Astyanax mexicanus: one gene and its partners. The protein of the gene in region 1 interacts with the protein of each later gene in a pairwise test. Links are inferred from orthologs where the notes say so. Each region holds a gene or a part of one and is shown in the gene's direction. Other genes may lie near its edges. The genes, in order: trim37, mcm10, bifunctional polynucleotide phosphatase/kinase and protein FAM124B.

Region 1 (6,908 bases):
GATCTTGTTCTTAGACACTTGAAATATGACTCCAAATAATGTCAATGCCAATGTTATAAAGTCATGTTAAAAAAAAAAAAACAAACAAAAAAAAACAGATTTTATGTAGCATTTACCAAGATAATTTGGCTGTCTACGGAGATAAGCTTAATGACAGTACAAGCCCAGTGTTTGTTAGAAATGTTAGCCTAGCATCTCATGTTGCAAACTAAAGAATCTCACGTCAGATAGCAATCATCTCAGGTTTACGTCTGAATCTGGGGTCAGTCATTAACATTTGTTTTTTTAGTTTTTCAATAAATATCTCCTTTAACACAAATTTACTCATAGCCTTATCACCAAGTAACAAAAATGATCACTAATTACGGTCATTCGCGACTGAAACGCAGAGGGTTGATCAGGTTGTTTTGTGTTTACACTGATTTTTAGTACTAACAGGTGCACAAACACTAAAATCATTTAAAGCTAATGTTGGGTTTCATCTTAAAGATTTGCTTATTTGTGAGGAGATGTAACATTTTTAATTCATTCATTTATAAAATAAAAGTCACTGGAATTGTTGTGTTGTCTGTGAAAATCTGCAATTGCCCTGTTAATAAAACCTGTATACGTTTGACAGTGTTTGTTTCTGAATGAAATGTGACATTTGAATTGGTAGTATGTTGTAAAATGATTACATTTGTACTTAATCTGGTAGCTCAGCAGTTCAGCTCTACTTAACTCTACAGCTGTTCAACCCCACCTATTCACTCTACAACAGTATAGTTAATTTAAGTTCTAAGCTCCACCAATTTCGCCTATAGAACCGAGTTCCAGTCTGACTCCGTCTACACTGGTTTATCTGTACCTATTTAGCTAATAGCAGTTAAGCCCTATCCATTAATTCCACAGCAATTTATACTGTCCAATTCAGCCTACAGCAGTATAGCTCATTCTAGCTCAGGTGTTTTAACCTGAACTGCTTGTGGAAATAAGCACAGTATAGGGCAGCCAATCAGAACACTAATTTATATACATATGCAATACTACACCTTCTGATTCAATGTTTTTACTACTTTTTCACATTGTAAATTAATAGTAAAATCATCCAGACTAAGAAGGAACATGTAGTAACGTAAAAATTGTTAAACAAACCAAAACACTCTGTGACATATTTAGATGCTCTTGTCTAGGCTGCTGTTAACTTTCAGTTTCTGAGGCTGGAAACTCTGATTAACTTATCCTGTGCAACTGAGGAAACTCTTGCCTAGGGAAGTCCTGATGACAGCTAGTTTTATGTTTTGATGGTCTTTGCGTCTGCACTTGAGGATAGTTTCAAAGTTCTTGACATTTTTGGATTGACTTAATTTATTTATTTATTCATTTTTTCTTTGTTTATGTGAGTAGTTCTTGCCATAATATGAATTAGTGCTATTTACTGTATACCAACTCTAACTCTTCACAACTTTACAAATGATGCTTTCAAACACCCTAAGAGGGCAAGAGCTTAACTGAAGAGCTGTTAACTGAAAGCTGTTCCAGGTGACTGAGAAAATCCAGCCAATATGTGCAAATCTAAGCAAGAGGATCTAAAATATAAAACATATTCTGTTGTGTTTAACACTTCTTTGTTAACTAAATCATGAAATGCCACTGAATTTAAGACGTGTCCAGGCCAAACTGGTACTGGACTGGAACTGTAATTATTATTATTATTTTTTTTTGGGGATGGTTTAAAGTGAGCTTAATTCTATATGATCTGGATTCATTATGAAAACGCAGAACAATACTGACACCTAGTGGTCTGTTTAAATGGAAAAGCTCTGACAGCAAACGTACTGCAATTAAGCGTCTGTTATTTTCTACAAAACATTCTACTATTCCTCTAAATCATGATAAACAACCTTTCATACACTAAAGAAAAACAAAACATTTATAGAACAAGCTTAATGTAATATAATTAAAGCATATATAATCACAATGAAATGCTAACCCTACACACTATTAATACATATCAAAATACACTAATACAAATGGCCAAGTTAAAAAGTAACGGTGGATGATCTCATCATTGAATCAGAGCTGTGACAGGGTGTTTAGTTTTCGTATATAACTATTTAATTTGTACGAGAACATTTGGGATGTTCCAAAATGGCCCGTTTTAATAAAGGCCGCACGTTCCTCCAAACTGCTGCTGCAGCTCTCCAGGCTCACTCAGATTAGAATACGGGTCACTTTCTCTCAGGAGACACGAGCACAAAATCTCTCTCTCTCTCTCTCTCTCTCTCTCTCTCTCTCTCTCTCTCTCTCTCTCTCTCTCTCTCTCTCTCTCTCTCTCTCTCTCTCTCTTTCGTTGTTAGGTGAGCTTTGAGGGGGACGTTGTTTAAAATTCTCACAATAATTGATATAGGGGATAATAAAATCACCAGGTTAAACAAGGTTATTGTTTATGAATCTCGTTTTTGTTTAGCGATTTGAGAAGTGTTTACCATCCACTTTAGGAGGAGTGAGTAAAGACTGAGGCTCCATCCCATTTCTATTTTTTACTCCTACCTCTTATTTTCGAATATAACCCTTTCTATTTAGACAGAGTTACAGAGGGGAGGGGGTGAAATCCTCCCCTTAAGAATTGGGACAACTCTTCAAGCTCCTGATACAGATTTAGCTATCGCAGTGGAGTGCTAAATTCCAGAAACCTCGCTGCTGGTTAACTAGTTACTTTATGGTATAATAGGTCTTCAGAAAGGGTGCAGGTGGTGCAGAACTTAATTATTATTGTACATGTCTTAATTCTTCTGTGATGTGGAGTTCAAATTAGCTTTTATTTTCTGTTTCACCTTAAATGGTGCAGCCTCCTCCTTCTGGTGCACCATTTAAGGTGGAAAAGGGAATTTAGCTAGCTAACGCTAGAGACCAACTACTGTTACTGAAAGAAATGGCGATAAACATTAAAACTAAACATTAAACTATGATAATTTAGAAGTTACTGTTATTGTAACAAGGACAATTCTCAATTTTGTGGATTTCTTTGTTTATTTGTGCCACAATCTTGCCAGTGACTCTCAAACCCTCTGTTTTCAGTGTGCCTCTGAAAAATCTCAGTTTCAAAGGCCAAGGAGTGAAATAAGATTGAGCCTTTATACAGTAAATAAAAAAACCTGATCTTCCTGAGTTTTGAATAGTTGTCCAGATTCCTAAAAGTAACTGATTAAGTTATGTGCTCATACTTTAGCCTCTTTTACGAAAAAGCTGAAAACATATCTGTTTACCTAAGCATTCCACAATAATTAACTTGCTCTGCTTTGCACATTGTTAGTACTTAATTTCTTGTAGTATTTTTTGTTCATTACTTACATATTCTTTTAATTATAATATCTTGTCATTGTCTTGAACATTGTTCTGTATCATATCTTAAATTTATTTTTTATATTTAAATTGTATTTATTGTAATTCTGTTAGAAATGTCTTTCTAGTTGTAATGCCACTTTTATTCTAATTCATTTAGTTAATTTTCTTTATTTTCTTTATTATTTTATTCTTTATTTATTTTATTGTTTTGGTTATATTTAAATCATGTTTTATCCATACTTTATTCTTATTTTATTTTTGTTTCCATTTTTATTGTTATTGGTTATGTGACTGTGTATTTTTTAGTTTGTATTAAAAGTGCTATATAAATAAACTTGCCTTGTCTTGCCTTACGGTAGTTAATGTATGAACAGGCTAAAATATAATATAAACATATACATATTTCACTTTTCTCCACAGTATTGATCGATTACTGGTAATCTGCAGCAGAGCTGCAATGCAGCTTTCTTGAGATGTGGGTGGGGTGTGAGATCAAACCCCACCTTCTCATTCCCAAGGACGTTTTTGATTGGTTTTCGTAAAACAGAGCAACTGCTGTGATTGGTGGAAGCGGTTTCCCATGGTGACGGACACTGCCCAGCAGCAGTGGGAATGCTAAGCTAACGCACTGCTAACGGCTGCAGGAGGAGGAATATCGGTGACTGAACTGTGACAGTTAATGTTGATGTAGAGGTTTTATACAGAATATCGCCCGCTGAGAGTCACACTGCGAGGTAACGCCAAACTCTTCACACCTTAATTTCCAGAGAAACATTTAATGTAAGCTAGCCAGCGTTAGCTAGCTAACTGAGTCGTAGCTATGCTATGCTAAAGGTAGACACTGTTTATAAGCCGTGTGGGTGAACTCGAGCTCTAATCAATCGATTTATCTGATTGAAATCGGGATTAACCCTAATTCAGCGCCGTATCGCTTTAGTTGAGTGTAATTTATATATTTCTTTGTTTTCCTCCAGATAGTTTAGCCTGATTTGGCGGCGTTTATATAGCGTTATCTGCTTCTAGTAGTTCTGAACTGATATAAATCGCGTGGTTTAGCGTGCAAATAGATTAAACTCTGCTTTAATATGTTGCTCTTTTTATTTTAATTACTTTAGGGGTGCTTTTTACAACAGTCTGGGTTGTAGCTTGAAGTCAGACTGTCTTTAAGCTTAGGAAACAAGCAAACTAACATCCAAACTTAAAAGCTTAATTTAATCAGGCCTTGCCCTGAATCTGTTTGTTTGTTTGTTTGTTTTAGATAATTCATTCAGAGCACTAAGCTGTATTTTCCACAGTTGTTCACAATTAATTAGGAATAATCTGCTGTGTCTTTTGCTTTAAGGTGAATTTTTAAATACCAATATCAAAACAATACCTTTGCTGCACGTGCTTGTTGTAGTGGTCAGGTCTTAGGTTTGCATACTGATGGTGCTTAACAAGCTTTGTCAATAGTGGTCTGTTGTTTTACCTCAGACATGAATTTCACCCAATCATCTTATCTTGTTCTTTTCTCTTTTCTGATCAGCTCATCTGGGGTCTGTTCACAAGGACCATAGGTTATCTTCAAATACTAATAAAACTGGCTGACATGGATGAGCAGAGTGTAGAGGTAGGTTGAATGTGTGTTTTTTTTTGGTTCAGGCTTTATATTGCATTATTATAAGTTGCTTGGTAATATGGAGCATGTCAATTCAGCTTTCTGGATGACCTCAATTAAGTCCTATTTGGGACTAAATTGCAATTATGGTTATAGTGATTCACACAGAAGTAGTCCAGATTCAGGGTCTGGGAAATTGGGCCATCATGTTTACAGATAAAACATTGTCAGTTTAGGTTGTCTGGAGATTGTAAATTACAGCTGATTACAGTTTTGCAACTAGTTTTTTTGTGTTTCTGAGAAATGTAAACAGATCATTCAGTGCATTAACACCACTGACAGTAAAAGTAACATTGATTTTCTTAGTAGTGTAATCTGAGCTAAGGTGTCAAGTAGAAATACTTAATTACCTTACTTAAGTAAAAATGTTACACAAATATCTAAACTTTTTACTCCTTACAATTAAAAAATACTTGTTACTTCTAGTTAATTTCAGCTCATTTTCATTCCAGCTTCTCATCATTCACATACAGACGTATGTAGCCTAGTGTGAAGATGATCCGTGCCGAGACTCAACTAAGCTTCTTAAATATGTTTGCATTTATTTTCAGTGGGCATATATGCAGCTGAACAGGGAGCCTAGTGCATCTCAAATTTATCAACATTAACATTTTAATATAACATTATAGTCATCATGGTTTAAAAAAAAATGTGTTTTGGGGAGTGGTGGGATGTGGGGTGAAGGTTTTGTCCTTAAAGGCATTTTCCTTACATTAATTTTTGTTTTATACTTACAGTAGTTTTGAAACAAATAAGCGTCTATGACAGGTCAGATTATGGTGGCAAAAGGCCTAGGTCTGAGCATCTTTACAATGGCAGGTCTTTTGGAACGTCCCTGAATAAACCATGTTTAACAGCAACAAGGTCATTAGTTCAATTATGCAATCCATTACAGGATCCAAATTACAGGACTTAAAATATCTTTTGCTAACATATTGGAGCTAAATACCACAGGGTGCCTTCAGAAGTCTTCTGAGTCATTTGTAACCTCAAATGATTAGATATATTACCCAACCCACCCAGTAGGATTCCCCCTATTACTAGCAATGCCACAATACCAGGGGGGTGAAGACTAGCACAAGCCTCCTCCAATACATGTGAATTCAGCCACTGCTGCAGATGCAGCATTGCCGAGTAGCATGACAGCACACTCAGACAATAGTGCAGCCACTCGGTTCTGATACGTCAGCTCATAGATGGCTTGTGCTGATTGACATCACCCTTTGGAGTGATGTGGGAAGAGAGCACCATCTACCCACCCAGAGAGAGCAAGGCCAGTTGTGCTCTTTCAGGGCTCCAGTAGCTGATGGCAAGCCACTAACAGGATTCGAACATGGTTGCATGCATTTGTCATATAATGATGTATGTTTTATTTATCTCCTTTTAGAGTATAGCGGAGGTGTTCCGCTGCTTCATCTGTATGGAGAAGCTGCGAGATGCTCGCCTCTGCCCTCACTGCTCCAAACTCTGCTGTTTCAGCTGCATACGGGTTTGTGTACACACACACACACACACACACACACACACACACACACACATAGAGGGAAGTGTTACACAAAGCTTGATTTTTTTATTTTGTTACATAGCTTAAGTTAGATTGTGCAGTAAGAATGTCCTTTAACTTCAACTTTTTTTTTTTTTTTTTTAATTGAGTTTTCTGGCTAAACTGAGAAAACTTACTTTGTGAAATACCTGCCCAGGGCTGAACAGTTGTTATTGGAATAACTGCACAACTGTCTGTAAGCAAGCACAATTTAGCAAGGTGTTTGTGTCATCCACAAGAAGGTAATGGTAATGTAAAGTATGGCGGTGGCACAAACAGTAATACATTTTATAAAAAGGACATGAATCAGATTCCAGTGCACATGCATAGGACTCTCTCATAGTGAGAAAGCCAGTAAGCAAACAACAGAGAGATTAATTC
Region 2 (7,241 bases), on another chromosome or scaffold:
GTGCTCTGACTTTAACTCCAGCATCAGCTCACCAATCCGTCAGCTCACAGTAGCAGTAATGCAGCGCCTTTACTGCCTAAAATTCGTTTACTGTAGAAAAACTGAAAAATAAATGGAGGTTTTCTTTGTACATAATTTTAATTTTCAACATCAAAGGATTTTCTGGCTAAGTGAACAGTTACTGTTTAATTTCACACTAAATAATCTATTACTGTTTTTTATTACCACCAGAGGGCGCTGTCGAGTGAGCCCAAAACGAATAAGTTCCTATGGAGCAATTGAGCATTTTTGTGTTCAAAAATGGTTAATGTTATCATTTCATCAACATAGAACAATAGTCATTTTCTGATATAATGGTGGAGAAAAAAAAGTAGGCAGTCTCTCTATAAACCAGCTCTGATATTACAGCTTTATTATCGAGGTCTACTGTTTTTAACAGCGACACTAAAACCACAGAATACACACTAAATAATCTATTCCCGTTTTTGACCACCAGATGGCGCTGTTGAGCCCAAAATGAATACGTTCTTAATGATCCATTGAGCAAAATCTAAGTTTATAAATGTTTTATGTTCTCATTTCATCAACACAGAACAAATATCACATATTTTAATACCGCAGATATAATGTTTTAGGTTTTAAACTCCAGTTATAAATATTTTAAACTCAGTGCTCTGACTGTAACTCCAGCATCAGCTCACCAATCCGTCAGCTCACAGTAGCAGTAATGCAGCGCCTTTACTGCCTAAAATTCGTTTACTGTAGAAAAACTGAAAAATAAATGGAGGTTTTCTTTGTACATAATTCTAATTTTCAACATTAAAGGATTTTCTGGCTAAGTGAACAGTTACTGTTTAATTTCACACTAAATAATCTATTCCTATTTTTTTACCACCAGAGGGCGCTGTCGAGTGAGCCCAAAACGAATAAATTCATATGGAGCAATTGAGCATTTTTGAGTTCAAAAATGGTTAATGTTATCATTTCATCAACATAGAACAATAGTCATTTTCTGATATAATGGTGGAGAAAAAAAGAAGGCAGTCTCTCCATAAACCAGCTCTGATATTACAGCTTTATTATCGAGGTCTACTGTTTTTAACAGCGACACCAAAACCACAGAATACACACTAAATAATCTATTCCCGTTTTTGACCACCAGAGGGCGCTGTCGAGTGAGCAAAAATATACTACGTTCATATGGATCCATTGAGCAAAATCTAAGTTTATAAATGTTTTACTTTCTCACAGTAGTAGTACTACAGCACTTTTTACTGTCTAAAATTCGTTTACTGTAGAAAAACTGAAACATAAATGGAGGTTTTCTTTGTACATAATTCTAATTTCCAACATTAAAATAATGTTCTGGCTAAATGGACAGTTACTATGTTTAATTTCACACTAAATAATCTAGTTCCGTTTTTTTACCACCAGAGGGCGCTCCCGAGTGAGCCCCACAATTTCACAATGGAGCAAAAAACTGAGCGAAATTCGGGTTTATAAATGTTTAGTGTTCTCATTCCATCAACACAGAAGAATATCACGTTTTTTATACCGCAGAAATATTTTAAAGCTTTTAAACTCCAGTTATAAATATTTTAAACACAGTGCTCTAACTGTAACTCCAGTATCAGCTCATCTTCCAGTCAGCTCACAGTAGCAGTAGTGCCTTTACTGCCTAAAATCTGTTTACTGTAGAAAAACTGAAAAATAAAGTGAGTTTTTCTTTGTACATAATTCTAATTTCCTACATTAAAGGAATTTCCTGGCTAGGTGAACAGTACTATTTTTATTTTGAGTTTCAGCTATTTAGCTCCATTCACCCCCATTCATTTTGGACTCATTCCCTCTAGAGGTTATCAGCAATTTCCTGATTTAACGGTGGAGATAGTACAGTGGGCAGTCTCTCCATAAACCAGCCCTCATATTACGACTTTATTATCAAGTCTACTATGTGTAACAGCGGCACTAAAACCACAGAACCTCTACACAGGAGAATGCACACAAAATAATTTATTGCCGGTTGGTTTTTTTAACCACCAAAGGGCGCTTCTGAATAAGCCCCACAATTAATAATTTTCTACGGATTAACTGATCAAAAAGTTTATAATATTTAATGTTCTCATTTCATCACCACAGAACAATAGTTCATGTTTTAATACCGCAGCTATATAGTTTTTTAAGTTTTCAAACTCCAGTTATAAACATTTCAAACCCAGGGCTTGAGTTCGATCCGTTTAATGTAGAAAAACTAAATAATATAGGGGGATTTTCTTTGTACATAATTATGATTTTTCAAAATCAAAGAAATTTCCAGGCCAAATGGACAGCTGCGATGTTTCATTTTTTTTTCTATTTTAACAGCGACACTAAAACCACAGAACTTCTACACAAACGATTGCCCACTTAATAATCTTTGCCGGGTTTGTTTTACCACCAGAGGGCGCTCCCAAGTGAGCCCAGATTTAATAGGTTCATATGGAGCAACTGAGCAAAATTGTTGTCAACAAATGCTTGATCATTTGTACACTGAAAATTTTACTTACATTTTTTTAACACAAGACAAATTAAAATGTTTTTGTACCTCAGACATATACATTTTTAAAGCTTTTAAACTCCAGCTATAAACCTTTTAAACTCTAATGCTTGCGTCTTTACTGCCTATAACCCGTTTGCTGTAGAAAAAATATATTGGTATGTTTTCTTTGCCTTTTCTTTGTCTTTTCAGTAACTTTAATCTACTTTATGAAATTAAATGAATATATTGGCCAAATGGTTAGTTACTATTTTTATTTGAGGTTTAATCTGTTTAGAGTCATTCACCACCATTCACTGAAGACTCACTCGATGGCTCCCTCTAGCGGTTAAAAGTCATTTTCTCATATATAGGGCATATATGAAGGTGGACAGTCTCTCCATAAAAACAGCTCTGATATGACTTTAATCTGTTTCTGAATGAATGCAGGAGGCTCCCAGCCATGTCTGATCTGAAGTTAGTAATCTAGCCTTCTGTTTCACTGTATGACAACACGGCTAAACACTCATTAGGTAGCAGGGAGCTGTCATTTCATCACTACAGATCCTACAGTGGCGATTCTAGGATCAGAGGTTTAACCTCGAGATATTCCAGAAGCAGAAGACCTTATCAGCAAAAATCCAACAAAGTGCAAAAACAACAAAGACAACCTAAACCTAAACGCAAATCATTTTCCAATAACTGCAAAGGATAAATATTATTTTACATTTGATTTTTAAACTTTTGTTTGCAGGTTTTATTAATTTGTGTCAAACCTTTGGCATAAAATTAACTCCATATATTTTCATTGTAAAAATAATATGTATACTTTTAAGGTTTGAACATTTAAAAAAAAAATTACTAAAAACAAACTCTAGTGTAACTACCAAAAAAAATGCCATAAAACAAAGGTCTGCTTAAAAAATTGCAAACGAACACTTAAAAGCTTCCAAAAATATTGTGATATTATGATATGGAGTATTTTCATTGTGTCAAATTTTTTTTTATTAAAGAAGCACCTAGTCAATATTTTTAAAACTGCAGTACACATATTTTGGACTTATTTTTAAGGATTTGTAAAATGAAAGCAAAATCCAAACACAAAAACTCTCCTGTTTTCACCAGAACTGTCTGTCTGGAGAATAAATTGTGTTCTAAAACCAGGTGTTTCTGTTTGATTGTCCAACCCCTGTATTTTCGTTATTAAAATAATATGTATAGTTTTCAAGGTTTGAAAATTTGTAAGACAAATTTACTCAAAACAAAAAGAAAACTACAAAAACACCCCAGTAAAGGGCTAGCGGCGCCTGTGATCACTACACTGACTTTAAGTTAGGTCTGGTAGTTGAGTGTGGGCAGCAAGTCAGCATGTGTTACGTTTCAGATACGAACGGTATGATCTACACTGCATGAGGACGAAGAACTTTACCGCGCAGATGATTTGAAGATCAGCACCTTAAGGACCGCCTGGCATCCTGTGTGCGCCTGTAGATACGAAGCGGGAGACAGAGAATCGTAAAACCCATTAATAATCAAATCAATTAGAAACAGAATGTTATCTATATAGTGTCATTCATAAACGATATCTATACATAACATACATAACTAAAATTACTTCTCTGTTATTATTACTCTTAATTCATATATATGTTTTTTGAACAGGCACTGGTGTTGCCTTTTGTACTGACGTCGGTTTAGGGCGTATCATATTTTAACATTTTTCGCGCCACCGCAGAGCAGCAGCAGACGGGAACGGGCTGAACAACATTTTACCTGGATTTGGAGTCCATATTCCTGATATATTAAATATTTAGGAATATAATAAGCCCGGTACTGTAGCATTGTTGTGATTGGTGTGTTGCTGGTGTGAGAGCTGGGGGGCGGACTGTGTGTTATTCTGTTTTTGAGTTCAGAAGAACAAATCGACAGATCTGTTCTTCAGAGCTACAGATTCATTTGACCCTGAAAAAATACTGAACATCAGACTCATCAGAATCTTCCATCAGATAAACACAGCGCTGCTTCAGTTCAGAGAGAAGGACTGGAGCTGCAGAGATGACTGGTAAGTAGATCTAGAAGCTGGTTGAATTTGGCTTTTAAACTTTCCACCTTAAATGGCGCGCCGGTTACATACAGTAGCTCATAGTTCGCTTCAGACAGCGGCGGGTTTTAACCCTTTTAGACCCTGCATACTTTACAATAGACATCATGTATTTTCTTTATTTTTAAACATTTTGTTGCACATAACACTATTTAAGAGCTGTTGTCCATCAGAACAGACCATGCAACAGCCAATTATAAACGAAACAGCAGCTTGGTCACATCCACTGCACTGGGAAAACAGTAGTACTAGAGCCATTAAGGCAAAGTAACTTTTTTTTTTTTTTTTTTTACAAATATAATGATAGTGATAAAATATAAATATAGTGATTTAGAACACTTTTTAATTTTACTGTTAATAAAATAAAAATGTCACTATAAAAAAATAAATTATTAAATATTCCAGGTAATAGCTATGATTTATTTGTTTACCATTATTTCCATCACTGGAGATAATTCATGTCTAAAAGGGTTAAGGTGGAGCTGGAAATTAGTTTTTTTTGTTGTTTTATAAACAGAGCTTGTTATTAGCAGATTTAGAGAATCTGTCTTACCTCGTCTCTGTTTGTGTGCCTGTTGTTCATATGGTTTATTATTAGGTAACAGTTATTGTTTGGTAAAAAGTCAGGCAAGTTAGATTAGCCATCGTTAGATAATTTAGCAAAACCAAGTTAGTTAACCTATAATGGTTATAATTATGTTTATATACATTATGTAAATAAGTGAGTATACTCCCACATTTAGCCCTGGTAACGATAATTACGTCATAGATTTACTGTACAATATACGGACATGAGCTCAATACATTTACGAGGCTTTGCTGATATCTTTACAGTCCATTGTTTTGTCAGCATATTTACAGTCTGCATATAAACTACAAACAAACAATTAAAAGTAAATAGTGTAAATCAATCAAATACAAAATAAACAGCTTCCATTAGGTATTTTACAAGGAAGATATATTGTCCCAGAAATTATTACGATAAACAATATTTTTGTAATTTTAAGACCATTAAATTCAAGTAATTATAATGATAATATAGTAGCATGACAAAGCAATTAAACCCTTACATAAACAACACAATGTTAATTAATCATAGATTGGGGGATATATGCTTAATTCTTCCCCTACTGCTGTCCACAACATGAGAATGGAGTGGACAATATCATGAATATCAAATATTATTGAGGGCATGTCAATTTATTGTATGATAAGACAATAATGTAGTTATTGTGAAAGGCCTAGCTTCCAAAAATATCGACATATCACAATATGGTTTCAGTGTGTCAAAAAACATTTATATGATACAATATAACACACCACTAGTTCACTGCTCTTTAGGAGGGTGTAATTGTAGTGTCATGCTTTAATATTAACATTATATCAGTGCTGTAAATTCTACACAAGCTTTGGGTTTGTGTTTAATATGGGATTTCAAGTATCCTAATTGTTAGATTTCAATAATAAATATAATTACTTATCTTTCTAAGTTTTATGAAGATGGACTTTATAATGCCAGTGCTTTCTGATTTACGATTAACAGCAGAGGATGAGAACCTGGACCTGCTGCTTTCCTTGTTTGAGGAGAGTCAGGGTCAGAAGATAGAGACTTCTGCTGCTGGAGAAGAGGACAATCTGGATAATCTGTTTGATGATGATGGTGATGAAGGAGAAGCCTATGCTGAGCCAGAAGAAGAAGAAGCAGAAGAGGTTGTGGAAGCTGCAAACTCAAGTGCAGAAGTGGAAAGTGAACTCAATAAATCCAAAGAGGACTTGGAGGGTAAGGTTAAATAGTTTTACGCTAATGTAACATTTTATTTAAATAAAAATTACTGAGAATCTTAAGTTGACATGTTCTATTGAAATTCCTGTTGTAAAACTTTAGCGGAGTTGAGGAGCATGCGTGAGAAGATGCAGAAGCTACAGCAGCAGCTGCAGGCATCTCAGAAAGGTGCAGATTATAAACCCAAACCTGCTGAAGATAAACCCTCCTCACAGAAACAGATAAGCAGCAGAACTTCACCAGCAGCAAAGCTTCCTGCCAAGCGCCTGACCTCTCCTCAGCAGTCTAGCAAACCTGCTCTACAAACACGTCTTCCCAGCCAATCCCCCCCATCTGCACCGAGAGGGGCTATAGGGTCTCCACCTCTAGAAACAGAGGGCAGGCAGATAACTGCACACCAAGCCAAAGCAGGTACATGTTTTTTCTTATGTATGTACAGAGAGCAATTAAACACAGTTAAGATGCGATCAGTAGAAAATAAGCGCTACAGCAGTCCAGTTTCAAAACACCAGATAGAGTTGTCTGCCCTGCCCACCCTTCCACAGACACAAAGCTCACTCGGGTTGCCAAGCTGAAAACACTGAACCTACACAAACAAGTGCAAGACGAATTCAACAACTTCAATCATGGCAAACGACATTATTAACCATCTTATGTGGATTTTATATAACTTTACATAATGAGTGTTGGGGAATGAGAAGCAGGCAGAGGCAGAAGCCAACACCCACACTGGTTTCTGTGATGTACTGCACAGTTCTAGTAATAAAATACTGGGTTTAGCTCTGCAGACAACAGATGGCAGTGCTTGAACTTTGATGATACACCCTAATTGTTTTATCATT
Region 3 (7,461 bases), on another chromosome or scaffold:
TCCTAGGAATTTTGACCAATCCTGTTTGGTATCAAAACACTCGTGAGAGCATGCGCTTCAATATTCATTAAGAAAAAGTTGAAATATGTAAACAATATGGCCGCCATATGCAAATTAGTCCTTCCGGATATATGCCCCATTCACTTCAAGAGGTAAATTTGGAGCACTGTTTCTCAGCAACCGTGCAACCTAGCAAGTTGAAACTTTGCATGCAGAATCTATCATACAGCCTCTAAAGGATGTTCAAAGGGCAACTTAATCAATCAACATGGCTGAACACCATCAGCCAATCAGCATTCAGCAGACATTTTGGCAGGCTGAATGTTGCCCAATCTGGATGATATTTGGCAGTTATGTTCAGGTGGAGACACTGTAGTGACCTGCAAAGTGCTGAAACAATCCGCCCACTGGGGGGCGCTGTTCCAAAAAAACGAGTATATGTCAATCATGCTGTACTATTTTGACATCTAATTGTTTTTGCCATATTTAGTACAGTGGCTCTGACAAATTTCTCAATACAACTATGTTTAAAAAGTGCTTTGTTCATTCATAATTGCTAATTGTTTGAAAATAGCTATATTGAAACTACTCTCTGGATATTTGGCCTATCACCTCCATTTCAGTCTTGCTGCACACTGTAGAGTCTCTAGGTAAATGTTCATTAAAAACATTTGTGAAAATTTCACATACAATACTCTCCAGGCATCAAGCAATCTGTGCGTCCTTGGAATTTCTAACCTAAATTGCTGTAACTCTGCAGTATTTGCTGTAATCTCACAATGTTAAAGACCTCTGTACAATATCACTCTGATGAAGCGCCATTTAATACAGAACTAGATTAAGAATAACTTGACATTACATGTCATATCAGAACATTCACTCCTTTGTGCCTCTTCTCAACATTAATAACAGGTGAAAGACTTTTGATCATTTCTAAATGTGACAGAATGTCTCCAATTGTGTTAGACCTTCTTACACATCACCATCCTATGCTCTAGTAGGCACCATTGTGCTAGTTGGTGCTTGATGAAGCGCCATTTAATTCAGAACTAGATTTATAATAACTTCGTAATTACATGTCATATCAGAACATTCACTCCTTTGTGTTAATTTAAACTTGTTTGGTCAAACATTTCAGCTTGTTCTGCAAAGGTTCAAAGGTCAATCTGAATACCACTTTGTGAACATTCTGGTTGAAGCCACCTGATCAATACCAATAACATGTAGACACCTTTTGACTAGTTCTAACTCACTTAATGAATATCCTACAAAGTTCACTAGATTTACATGTGAATTTAAGCACTGATCAGGTTGAAAGGCCTCTGCTCAACATTAATAACAGGTGAAAAACTTGATAATTTCTAAATGTGACAGGGCATCTCCAATCATATTAGACCTTCTTACACATCACCATTCAATGCTCCAGTAGGCACCATTGTGCAAGTTGGTGCTTGAACCCGATGATTGCCGCTTGCGGCTATATTTATTATTATTATTATTATTATTATTATTATTATTATTATTATTATTATTATTATATATTTTTTTATCATTCATTTCAAACAACCTTACAGGATATAGCACCTAATTATAACACAAGTTAACAATCGGTCCAGACCTTGGCCTTTCGAAATTTCCTCTAACTGGACCATAATGAATTCTAGTTAAGATCTTCCCATACACCTTTTTTTTTTCTTCTGTTTCATCTTCTCACAGACACCATGATAAGAACGTGCTGCCCAGACAGGCTGGAGCTGATCACGTCACTGGAGCTGGACAACAAACTGTTAACTGGACTCTGTTGATGTAGCCAAATTAAAAGATACTATCCAGTTGCATTGGATCCTATTGATTTACATGTCATTTGCACTCTCTCTCTCTCTCTCTCTCTCTGGGTTGTGAATGTGTTGATCTATAGAGATACAATTATACATTGTGTTGACCTGTTGATGTACTTTTACTCTTTTCTAAAGTATCTATTGATATATGTTCCTTTTATATATCTGTAATGCTGAAACAATTTTCAAGTAAAAATTAACTTATTTTAAATTCCAGACTTTAACTCAATATCTATCTTTTTATGCTCTGGGATTTCTCACATTCGAGTTTTAGTCATGCTGTGGTAAATTACTCTACAGTAAAAAAGTGAAATCATTTGCTGGTGAGAATTCAGACACACAATTCATAAAATATCTGTTTAAAATAAAAATAAAAAAATACTTCACGTTGGGACATGTTGACTCTTAGATAATTCATGTTTTGTAAATCTTTTTAAACCATAAATCTTTCAAACAGTTATGCATATGTTCATAAGAGGGTGGAGATCCTGTGTATGTTCAAATATATGCTACAAATAAATGCTACAATTTGTACATGTCCCTTTCGTAATAAAGTATTATAAAAAATATAAATATAATTTAATTTCCAAAAAGTTTCAAAGTCCGATTGGAACTCAAACCCAGAAATGAATGATGTATTCACTTTCGCTTTACTTACATGGTTTGATTTGAGGTGCTGTCCTACTGGCTGTAGAATGAACTGTACTTCTTAATATTACAGGTTTATCCAGCTAATTCCGACGTTAAATCGTGATATATTTATGCTGTGCTGTAATTTTACCAGAATGATTTTCTCTTAACTGCCTGCAGGAGGAACTGATAGATCATTAATCTGTAGGAAATTTTAGTCCAGACCCCTCTCCTCCTCCCCTTCGTTCAACAGAGAGTCTATATAGAGAAGAGCACCCACTCCAGACCGTTTACCCTGTTTATTCAGCCTCCAGAGGGCGCTCCAGAATTAATAAGTTCATATGAAGCAACTGAGCAAAATCAGAGTTTATCTTTGCTGTAGTTGGGCAACAAAGAACAGAACACAAAAATGTGACTTTATAGCAAAAAAGTATCGCAATAAACCCACAGCATATATCAAGGATATCGGAAAAAGGCAGTTTGGCTTTGCCATTAGCAAGCGAGCTAACTAACTTAGTTAGTTAGCGTTAGCGCCACAGGCTAGGCTAGCTAAAGATATAATTACTTTGACTGAGTAACATCTAAGGCAAAAGAAGCACTAAATATCTGTATACAGTAAGAGACACTGTACTAAATCCATAGCTAGCATATATCAATCATATCCAAAAGGGGTCTTTTTTCTCTGTGGTTGCTAGCGTTAGCTATCTCATAGTTAGCACCCACGCAGTTCAGAGACAGTTGGGTCGTCTTTTTAGACTCGGATCTATTAATACAGCAGGGAACACAGCACTGGGCCATATTAACAGACTCAATGCAGTGGTTTAAGAGTATTGCGCAATAATATTGGTGCCAAGTATGATAAAAAAAAAAAAAAAAGCTTTAGCGTGTCATAACAAGAAGCCCTTTTTTTTCTGAAGTACGACATAGTAACTTACAAAAAACAGATTTCTTATAATTACAAGATGTTTATTTTATAATTACGACATACAATGTTGTTTTAACAACATTACTTAAAAACAAGATACTTTTTCATAATAATGGGATATGTATTTTATAATTACGACAGTGATTTTTAAAAATAGGTAGTTTCTCTAAATTAGGGGATGTTTATTTTATTATTACAATATCTCAAAAAACAAGATATTTTCTCGTAATTATGACATTTATTTTATAAATACGACACAGTAACTCATAACAACGAGTTAGTTTCTCATACTAATGCTATGTTTGTTTTATAATTACAACATACTATGTTGTTACGACATACTTTGTCGTTTAAACTATATTAAAGCTCATAAAAACGAGAGTTTCTCGTTATAACGACATGCTAAAGTTTTTTTTAGGAGACTTAGGAGCAATACCTTCAGTAGGAACTCACCAACCAATCAACACTGACTAGCAGCAATGCTAGCGCCTTTACTGAATAAAACCCGTTTACTGTAGAGACATTTAACAATATAGACTAGATTTCTTTACTTTTTTAGTAAAATACTTCATTGTACTTTCCAAAATACAATTAATATACAGGGTAAATAGTTAGTTATGTTTTTAAATAAAGTTTTTGCCGTTTAGCTCTATTTTTCTCTATTTATGAAGGACTTTCTCGCGGGCTCTCTCTAGCGGTGCGCAGTTGCATTATCTGATTATAATAATACGGCATAGCGGGCGGTACCGGAAATAGGTAGTCTTGCCATTAAAACAGCTGTGGCTTGACTTCCACTTGGGAAAATCTATTTATTATTATTTTAAAGGGATGTCTCTTTTGTTCTTTTTTAATGTTAACGTTAATAAATCAATATAACGCACTGTATTATTGTTTGTTCTACTTTATCTTGCGTTTAAAAGGTCAAAAAAGTATTTAAAACAATAATATTTATCAGGACGGGTGATAAACTGAGATTTTAGATGTGTTGTAAAGAAAGTAACCCCCCTATTTCCTTTCTGTGTTTTTTCCTGCGCTTTGAAGTGCGTATGGGAAGTGAGCGAGGGCTGGATTGGGACAGAGTGGGCTGTTGAAAGGGACGCGTTGTGTAGCTGTTTAGATAGTTTGTTAGCCGACTAACTATTATCCTTGTTTTCTGTCGTTTTTAAAGTCTTGAAGGCGTTTTAAAGTCGTAATCTGGTCAGTGCGCTGTTTCGCGTTTGGCTGGTTAGTATGTTAGCTGCTTGAAGGTGGTGGAGAGCTGTTTCTGTTTAGTTTAGTGTTAGTTAGCTAAGATATGCTAAGTGTATTTAAATGTTCTGTGATGTAGGATTATATTAATATTAATATGTATAATTCTGATGTGATTTAAAGCCGTAAAATAAATGATAAGTGAGGAATAAGTGTATTAAATCCTTTTTATTTAACTACAGGTTGCTGGTCGTAGAGCGTAGGGAACAGATAAGTAAACGACCGCACTCCTCGGAATGAAGTGTGCACTACTGAGTCCCTCAGGAGCCCGGGTGGAGCTGTGTGATGGACGCGCCCTGATCCTGGGTCGGGGTCCTGAGTCTGGAGTGAAGGATAAACAGTGTTCCAGACATCAGGGTAAATACACCCTTACAGCCTCTTCTGTATTATACAGAGACCCTAAGGCATACCTGTCAAGTCTCCCGTTTTGGCCGGGAAACTACCGTATTTTATTCCTCTTTCCCGCCGTCCTCCCGTTTTAGTATTTTCCCGTAAATTTCCCGTATTATACTAAATAAAAAATATATATAGGCCACAGGCGACAATGCACTGACCGCTGTGTGTCTCTTAACCAATCGTGGTGCCGGTTCAAGGAGAAAGTCCCGCCTTTCAGGAGAAACAGCCAATCAGCTAGCTGGTTTTGCGGAGCGCAGTTTAGTGTGCGGGAAGCCCCGCCCCTCCCCTCGCTGTGAGTTCAGGCAGCTAGTCGGAGCAGCTGTCGTTAAAACTAATCTGGATATACGGAGATTTTTCTAAAAGAAAGGTAATTAACCATGTAAACTGTGATGAGATTGTTTCTGATAGCTGGTTAAAAAGACTCTTCTCTGAATCAAAACATAAATTAAACCCACTGTGTGTTTAATAAAATACAGCTTAACTTTAGAATTAGCTAGATAGATATTCAGGGTTTGAGAAAAAAAAAAAAAAAAAAAAAAAAAAAAAAAAAAATATATATATATATATATATATATATATATATATATATATATATATATATATATATATATATATATATATATATATATATAATGCCCTGCCCTGATGTGCCTGATCAGCCAATAACTATCATTTCCAAACTCTATTAGTTCAGGGCTAGTTTTAGGGTTTGTTAGAATTTGTTTAAATCTCAAGTATTGTGGTAATGTATTATAATGTAATGTAATGTATTATTTAGAAGGGGTGGAAGAGATGGTTGAGCTGGAGAGAGAGAAAATGTGGAGAGGGCTGAAATTAACTGAACTGATCAGGAGTGGACTGAACAATAGAAAGAAGTATTAATGAAAGATTATTAATTGTGTAGGCCCCTTAGGACTATTATTTACTTATGGAATATATCTGATCCATGTCCTTTTTGTAAATTTGTGCACCCTTCAATTTCAATTTTAAATCTATTAAATAAATAAATAAATAAATATATATATATATATATATATATATATATATATATATATATATATATATATAATATATATATATATATATATATTTTTTTTTTTTTTTCCCTCGTTTGGGCTGTTGGGGCGGCGGAAAAAATCCCTTATTTTTAAGTCCAAAACTTGACAGGTATGCCCTAAGGTGACATCATGTTTAACAAAAAAATATAGCATGGCCACCACTTATTAAGACATGGGAACAAGATACTAACAGGTGGGAATGAAATAATTAAGGCGTGTGAATGAGAAAACTAAGACATGGCCACCACTTATTTAGGCGTGAGAACGAGATCCTAATGGGCGGAAATGAGAAAATGAAGGCTTGGACACAGCTTATGAAGGCATTGGAACGAGATACTAATGTGTGGCAACAACTTATTAAGGTGTGGGAATGACATCCTAACGGGTGGGAATAAGATAATTAAGTTGTGGCCACAGCTTACTAACCTGTGGGAACAAAATGCTAATGCGTTCCCGAAACTTATTAAGGCGTGGGACAACACTCTAATGGGTGGGAATAAGATAATTAAGTCGTAGCCACGAAAAAAATGTAGGCATGGGAACAAGATGCGTGGGAATGAGATTCTACTGGGTGGCAATGAGATAAGTAAGGTGTGTGAATGAGATAATTAAGTTGTGGCCATGACTTATTAAGGCATGGGAACTAGATACTAATGCATGGCAATGTCTTATTAGGCTGTGGGAACGAGATCCTAATGGGTGGGAATGAGATAATTAATGTTTGTGACTGAGATAATTAAGTTGTGGCCATGACTTATGAAGGCATAGGAATGAGATACTAAAGAGTGGGAATGAGATAATTAAGGCAAAGGAATGAGTTTCTAATTGGTGGGAATGAGAAAATTAAATTGTGGCCACAACTTATTAAGGCATGGGAACAAGGTACTAATGCATGTCCACGACTTATGAAGGAGTGGGAACAAGATCCTAATGGGTAGAAATTAGATAATTAAAGTGTGTGAATGAGAAAATTAAGTCATGGCCACGACTCATTACGGTGTTGGAACGAAATCCTAATCGGTGGAAATTATGGTGACATAATGTAAAAAAAAAAAAAGGCAAGGGCACAACTTTTTAAGGAGTGGGAACAACATCCTAATGTGTGGCTACGACTTATTAAGGCTAGGGAACAACATACTAATGGTTGGGAAAGAGATAATTAAGGCATGTAAATGAGATAATTAAGTCATGGCCACAAGAAAATTATGTCGTGGACAGAGAATAATAAAGTTGGCTTTTCTGTAAATGAATGCCCATGATGAAACTGAATATTACATCAAAGCTCCTTTAATTCAAGGATGATCTTAAGAAAATGGAGAGTGGCACCGAGTGGTCCAGCGGTCTAAAGCGCTGCCACTAGGGGCGG
Region 4 (7,152 bases), on another chromosome or scaffold:
CCTGTTGAAATATGAAGTCTTCTTCGCCGAACTGTTCCTCAACAGTCGGAATCAGGAACGTTTCCAGAACATCTTGATATACGGCAGCATTGACCGTCTTCTTGAGGAAGCAGAGTTTCCCTACACCTCGAGCGGACATGCATCCCCAGACCATAACGCTCTGGGGAAACTTGACGGATCTTTTCACGCACTCGTGGTTGTAGGTTTCGCCACCACGACGCCAGACACGAGGACCTTGGTCACCGAAGGAGATGCAGAAGCGTGATTCGTCACTGAAGACCACTTTCTGCCAGTCTTCAGCAGTCCACTCGCCGTGTTCTTTGGCCCACTTCAGCCGTTTCTCCATTTGTTTCTTGTTCAGCATCGGTTTTACTGCTGGAACGCGAGATTTGAAGCCGAGTTCGCGCAGACGACGGTAAGTGGTTGATCTGGAGACGTCAGCGCCGGTCTGCTTGTTCCACAAGTCGGTGAGCTCGGAAGTGGACTTGAACCGGTTGCTGACTGCGATCTTTCTCAGCTGCTTGTTGTCGCGAGCAGAAGTTTTTCGGACGCCGGAACAGTTGGTGCGCTTGCTGCAGTTTTTCTTGAGAGCTTTGCAGACGGAAGACTGGCTGATGCCGAGCTGCTCAGCAATTTTAGTTTGGGTCAAGCCTTGTTGGCGAAGGGCTTGAATTTGAGCCACTATTCCGGTTGAGAGGTCGCGCTGCTTACCCATGATTGATTTTACAACTTAAATTCTACTCAACCCTGACTTTATACTGCACAGTGAACACTCTTCACAGAAAACAAAAATTCGAGCATTTATTCTAATTCAATGAAACGGTTTCTCCATTATTCTAATTCAATAAAACAACAGTGTCACAGTTAAATGGCCTAAATGGGCCTTTTAGAAAGCTCAGCTGAGCAATTTTTTTTCCAGGTAACGAGTTCTGTGATTAGTCTAACGAGTAGGACAGGTGCGGTGAACACCTGATTTGCTTTCTGCACAAAAAATGCATTCAAAGAATTTCATGATTGCACTATTTCAAATTATTCTAATTCGTTGACCAGCACCTGTACATGTAATTCAGCAATCAAAAATATTCAAGTCTTTAAAGGAATATATATATGGTGAAACACAACCAGAATTCACAGATTACTAAAATAAAGTGTATATATTTAATGCATGACAAGCATTATGTTTAATATTTATAAAATAAGTTTATTTAAATGTTATCTCTTTTTTTCTGTTTAATGTTTGTTAACCACCCAACCGTTTTCTTTCACTCTCCTGCAGGTCACTCAGCAGTTGCGGGCACGATTCCTCCCAAGTCCTGTGGTCATTAAAAAGCGCATTGAAGGACTTATTGAGAGGGAATACTTGGCAAGAACGCCAGAAGACCGTAAAGTGTACACTTACGTAGCATAAACGCGGCGTGAATTTCAAGTGAAACCTGGTGTGGAGTGAAAGGGAGCGTGAGTGTGAGAGCATTAGTTCTGGGACTTGGTCATACGCATGAACTGGGAGGTTAATTGTTTTTTTTATTTATTTTTTGTTTTGTTTTGTTTCTTTTTTTTTTTTTTTCTTTTTTTTCTTCTTTTTTTTTTCATCGCTACTGGGGAAAACTGAGAAGTTAACCTTTAACCTGTTGTACGGACTTGTTTTAAATAGCTCTTAGCGATTCACACAAAAGCCTTCCAAAGCCCCCATGGAGCTGGATCAGATTCAGCTCTGGGCTTGTAGACGAGGTGTCCGTCTCTGTGAGAGAACTGTGATAGAGTCGCGATGAAGCCTATAAACCTGACCTACAAATCCAACAACGAAAGTGCCCAAATAAGACAAGAGTGATGTGGGTTTATTGTTTTTCTTTCCAGCGCGGGATGGCTCCTGAAGGCCATTCAGGTCAGAGTGTAATACGCACACCTTCCCAGACTGATTTTTATTTCAGCTCCCTCCCCCCAATGTCTGTGTAGACGTGTTTGTAGTCTGTGGCACCATGTTGGTTGTACAGGTTGTTTAACACTATTGGCTGCCTGCAGAAGATTTTAAAAAGGAGGACGTCGTCGTTTATCGAAGAGCCATAGTAGTTGCTTTCTGAGCATGCCTTTTCTGAAGAGGGGTGAAATAACTTTTTCAAAGTTTATTAAAGAAGTGGTTTGGTTGTATTTTTTTCCATATTTCTTTCCAGATTTGGCATGGCCAAATGTAAAATTTAAACATTAGCTTTTTGTAGGGGGTCCTTCCAATGCAGTTATTATTATTATTATTATTATTATTAAGTTTTTTTTCCCTTTTTTTCTTCTAGCAAAGGAGGAACTTCTGGAGCACCATGTCTCAATGTGTAAAAATTGTAAAATAATTGTTATTGTACTCACTGAAGTGGACTGTACAGGGCCTTGTTTTCATCATTATTAAATGTAGAAAAAGGAGGAAAAAATAAATGGATTTGCTGCTTTGGGTGTTTATTTGCATTGTAAGAAATCACGTTCCCCCATTGTCACAGTAAAGCTTGGTATATGGTTGGTATTTTAATAAACATGAGTATAATAGGGAAAAATATGGGCCAGTTCCAAAAACCTGAAACTGTTACATAACAGTCCAGACTGTATATTAGGGGTGGGTGATATGGTCCTAAAATAATATCACGATATTTCATGGTATTTTCGCGACAACGATACTCTTGGCGATATAAATTAATTATTTGTTTGTATTTAAGAATACACTACTGCAACAAAATGATTTTTTTATTTTATTATATTATTTTATTATTATATTGCATATGATTTATGTATACGATACTAATAATAATGCACTCCAAATATCCCCATATATCCAGGATTAAAATAAAATAAATGATACTGGACAGATATAATCTGTCTCTAGTAGATATATAATGGAAAATGAAAACAGTGTGATTATTCTTTTGCTAAAAACAGCAAAAAAAATGAGTACCCTGATGTGATCATGAGGGGTGGGTGATATGGCACAATATTTTTAGGGTATAATATCGTTCACGATATTCAAAAATGTTTCCGATATTATCGCGAACGACTCAATATGGCACACCCCTACTGTATATTTACCTTAAGGATTAACGTACACATACAAATTGAAAAAGCCTTTAGCAGCCCGAGACTGAATTTTATCATAACATCAGCATATGGCGCAGTGTCACTCCACAGCAAAGACAGCAACGTGTTCACAATAGTCTCACAACACCACTGCACTGTGATGGTGCCTGGCTGACAGGTGGCCTAGATTGTGGACAATTTGTGAAACAACCATCTTGCTTTTCCAGTCCAATGATGTGCTACTTTTCAAAGTCTTTCAACTGGCCAAATTGTCTTAATGTCCCAACCGTCAACAATCTCTCACCATAAGGTACACTATCCAAAAGTAGCTCCTCTTTTTTATAGGAAAGCAGGGGTTAAAATGTCATTGTTTATTGTGGAAATACCCAGTTTCTAATCAGACCACACCTGTAATCATTTACATATCTGTCTAGGACATAATTTCAAGCAAAGTTTTGCAGTAATCTTTTTTTATAATTTGAGCGTATATCAAGTATTTGGCTAAAAGAATTAAACAATATGCTGAAGACATACATCTGGGGGTATTATCTTAAAATTATGACTTGGAGGAGGGCAACATTTCTCCCAAATTCCAAATAAAAAAAAATTGTCATTTAGAGCATTTATTTGCAGAAAATAAGAAATGTCTGAAATAACAAAATAGATGCAGAGCTTTCAGACTTGATGCAAAAAAATACTGAGAATTATTTACACAAAAATGGCATTTTGATACTGTGTACATAATAATTTTCAACATTTTCATATTTTTTGTTGGTTACACTAATTAAGTTTCAACCTGAAAAAAATTACTATTTTTCCTAAACTTTTGTAACATAACAGGAGGGTTAAGCTTCTCTCTTATACACTGCATTAATGTTGATGACTGTAACTGTTAACTGGCTAATAGCACTGTCTCAGAATGCCTCACACCGTGTCTGTGTGGGGGGGTTAATCGAACAGACAATGTCTAAAACTCGCCAGATAAATAAATAATACCAGGGTCACCCTGCCTGTACCTTAAAATCTTTTCAGAGCCGTCTGCTGCTCTTTTGTCTCAGCCAGTCGTGGGCTGACAGCCATCTGTTTGAATTGTAATTCCCAGTCTGAGAGACTGGGGGTAGCCTTTCCCCATACAGCTGGATACTGCAGACTGCATTTTTGGAAGCTGTGCTGGAGGCTTTGCATCACGTAGTTAGTCTTACAGCACTGTTAAACACTTTTAGGGGACGGGAAAAGACGTGTCTAGTTTTATTTACTACGCTGAATTAGACAAAACCCAAAACAACTAACTAGCTTAGCTAGCGTTAGCTAACTAGCTTAGTTAACTTTACCTAAATTTATCTAACGTTACAAAGCAGCAGCAGCGGGTCGCTTTATTCCGCAATGGAAAGTTCGTGTGTCACTTGACGACGAATTCAGACAAGAAAAAAGGAGTAAATGGTGGAATAATGCTGCGCAAACCCTACCTATACCACAGCAGGGTGGAGGATGAGCCCGCAGACTCCGGAGCGGAGACCGCAGGGTGAGTTACTTATAGTTAGCTTTAGCTTTAGCATCAGATGCTACTGTTGGCTGAGGGTCGCTTAGTGACTTTGTTTGGTGTCTCCAGGAGGGCGACGGAGAGCCGCTGCAGCTATAAAAACGCTGAACTGGATTAATTACTTGGAATTCACTGTTTTTACTGTCTTTTTCAACTAAAAGTGTAACTAAACAATTAAAAAACGAGAAAAGAAAGGTTTAGAACTATTCTCAAGACTTTTCAGATAAAAAAATAAAGTTATCTTATGTTATTTTAAAATAATTACCGTTAATCTAATTTAACGTTAATCGACTCCAGATTGCCTTTTTCCCGCTGTGAAGTTAAGTTAGTTAACTAACGTTAATTATACATATATATATATTACTTAGGTTCCTAATATTAATATACTTTTTATTACAACAAAAAACACTTGTTTATTTGTATGATATTTTTAATTTTATTGTTTGATAAATAAAAGCCAGCAAACCCACAGCATTTGCCCATGTTTAATAAGAATTAATTACTTTTTTTTTGTGAACGATATATATTTTTTCTCTGTCTTTTTTTAAAGTTAAAGCATAACGTTAAGTTAACTGAAATATTCAGAATAAGCAATGCAAACAGATGTTATAACTAGTCTCAAGACTCTTTTCAGATCTATTTTAACGTTAATCTACGTTAATCGATTTCAGATTTGCCTCTTTCCCCCCCACCGCTGTGAATTAATTAATCATACAAAAATATAAGTTACTTAGGTTAGGTTTCTAAGATTTTTCGTATTATTATTATTATTATTATTATTATTATTTATAATAGTCATGATAATAACAATAAAGTTATGCATTTATAAAGTATTCGCAAAAGCTTTGCTTTATCGAGATATCACATGCTACAGTTAATTTTACATCATAAATATGAGAAGAAAAATAACTGATTTAATTTTTTTTGTTGAATATATTTCTTTAAAAGTGTTTATATTCGTATTATTATTATTATTATTAGTAGTAGTAGTAGTAGTAGTAACAATAGCAAAAGTAGTAATAGTAGTAGTAACAGTAGTAGTAGTAGTAGTATCAGTAATAGTGGTAGTAGTAACAGTAGTAGTAGCATTATTATTAATAGTAATATTGGGACTTGTACCTGTATCTTCCTAAGAATGTTCATAAAATTGTCCAAAATACTTACAAGAAGTCTATATTAGAGTATTTTGTGGTAAGCTAAGAATTGTTCACAGCTCTGACTGTCTTTACTTGCAGGTCCGACTGCAGCAAAATATCTTGCAGCAGCCGTAAGTACAGTTTGTATACTTAAATTGGATTAGGTCTTTATTGCAATTCAGTCATGTTCATGTTAAACCCACTGCATGTTGCAGTAATCAGCTTGAAGCCACAATTTTAAACCTGTTTTTATGCTTTCAGCACTTTCTATAATCCTCCCTCTTCCCCGCCTCTGCCTCTTTGTGTCTGTTGCGATTAGTTGACCTCATGGCAGGCCCGGGTCAGGAGCCCCCGCTGGTCACCATGCACCTGCTGGCCAACCCTGGAGACTCTCTCCTCCTCCAGCACACCCTGGACCGCCTCCTGAAATGGGTGTGCCCTGGTCTTCGCCTCTTCCATGTGTCGGAACGCGCCTGTCCAGTGCGTGACTACGCCCTGCCACCTGTGGCCGGCTACCCGTCCCTGGCGGTAACCCTGTTCCTGCATGAGTCGTATGGGGAGGAGCGTATCCTCAGAGTTCTGGACTTCCTCCAGTGTCCACCTTGGCAGTACCACCACACGGAGAGTTGTGGAAGTAGGACGGGACAGGGCGTCCACATCAGCTCCACCAGCTCACCCTCCAGTGCCCTGTTGCGGCCGTACCTGCTGCCCAGCCGGGACTTCTACAGCCTGGGCACTGGCATGCCAGTGTGGGGGGTACGGCCGGTGCACTGTGGAGGGGAAGTGGTGCGTCTGACATTACACAGCTGCTATGATAACTACGAGGACACTGTGAGGCTATATGAAACTGTTCTGAGGAGGAGGGCAGAAGAGCAGAAAGCCGGGTTCTGTTGGTTCACCCTGATGGCAGAGAGGGGACTCAGTCTGCAACTCGCCCTCAAACAGCTCTCTCCTGGGGTTAGGGTTGAAACATGCCACTCTGCTGTGCTGCAGTTTAGAGTGGGCGAGATTGGTCAATTGGTGCCATTGCTCCCGAACCCTTGTTCACCTATAAGTGCCACCCGCTGGCAGACCGAAGACTTGGATGGCAACAAGATCCTCTTTCAGGTAAGGTTGCTCATTCATCCTGCTTTTGTTGGAGTAACTGCTGAAACAGTCCTCTGGGGAAGGCTTTCTACTAGATATACTTTTCCAGGCTATGCCTGGCATTAGGCAGGTGCTTTTTGCTACTACATTGAATCAAAAAGCCTTATAAAGACCACAGAAATCCACAGTAGATCACAGTAGATAGCGGAAATGTGCACAAAGAAAGTCAGCCAGTCTTTTGGTAAACAAATAAATACTAAGGCTAAGTTACATTGAATACAACTACTATCCTAGTCCTGTACAGCTTTTGGTCTGTCAGTTGGAAAACTGTAAAGAGGT

The links.
Region 2: the proteins of trim37 (region 1) and mcm10 interact in a two-hybrid assay, tested with the Homo sapiens proteins (2 studies listed by BioGRID and IntAct). The link is inferred for Astyanax mexicanus from reciprocal best matches to the Homo sapiens genes TRIM37 and MCM10.
Region 3: the proteins of trim37 (region 1) and bifunctional polynucleotide phosphatase/kinase interact in binary tests that used the Homo sapiens proteins (3 or more experiments, as listed by UniProt). The two-hybrid records come from large-scale screens. The link is inferred for Astyanax mexicanus from reciprocal best matches to the Homo sapiens genes TRIM37 and PNKP.
Region 4: the proteins of trim37 (region 1) and protein FAM124B interact in a two-hybrid assay, tested with the Homo sapiens proteins (2 studies listed by BioGRID and IntAct). The link is inferred for Astyanax mexicanus from reciprocal best matches to the Homo sapiens genes TRIM37 and FAM124B.

Annotation. Positions count from the first base shown.
Region 1 is NC_064427.1:11,628,280-11,635,187, reverse strand, and holds the start of trim37 (E3 ubiquitin-protein ligase TRIM37), read left to right. Parts: upstream 1-3,904; 5' UTR 3,905-4,061; intron 4,062-4,852; 5' UTR 4,853-4,915; coding exon 4,916-4,936; intron 4,937-6,371; coding exon 6,372-6,473; intron 6,474-6,908. UniProt on the Homo sapiens protein: E3 ubiquitin-protein ligase required to prevent centriole reduplication. Probably acts by ubiquitinating positive regulators of centriole reduplication.
Region 2 is NC_064409.1:12,340,522-12,347,762, forward strand, and holds the start of mcm10 (protein MCM10 homolog), read left to right. Parts: upstream 1-4,221; 5' UTR 4,222-4,570; coding exon 4,571-4,577; intron 4,578-6,159; coding exon 6,160-6,396; intron 6,397-6,501; coding exon 6,502-6,810; intron 6,811-7,241. UniProt on the Homo sapiens protein: Acts as a replication initiation factor that brings together the MCM2-7 helicase and the DNA polymerase alpha/primase complex in order to initiate DNA replication. Additionally, plays a role in preventing DNA damage during replication.
Region 3 is NC_064425.1:32,500,852-32,508,312, forward strand, and holds the start of bifunctional polynucleotide phosphatase/kinase, read left to right. Parts: upstream 1-4,440; 5' UTR 4,441-4,590; exon of another isoform or gene 4,591-4,617; intron 4,618-4,823; 5' UTR 4,824-4,877; coding exon 4,878-4,998; intron 4,999-7,461. UniProt on the Homo sapiens protein: Plays a key role in the repair of DNA damage, functioning as part of both the non-homologous end-joining (NHEJ) and base excision repair (BER) pathways.
Region 4 is NC_064411.1:43,418,439-43,425,590, forward strand, and holds the start of protein FAM124B, read left to right. Parts: upstream 1-4,150; 5' UTR 4,151-4,499; coding exon 4,500-4,573; intron 4,574-5,826; coding exon 5,827-5,858; intron 5,859-6,046; coding exon 6,047-6,834; intron 6,835-7,152. Other genes in the region: cul3b (cullin-3b), read left to right, coding at 1,277-1,408.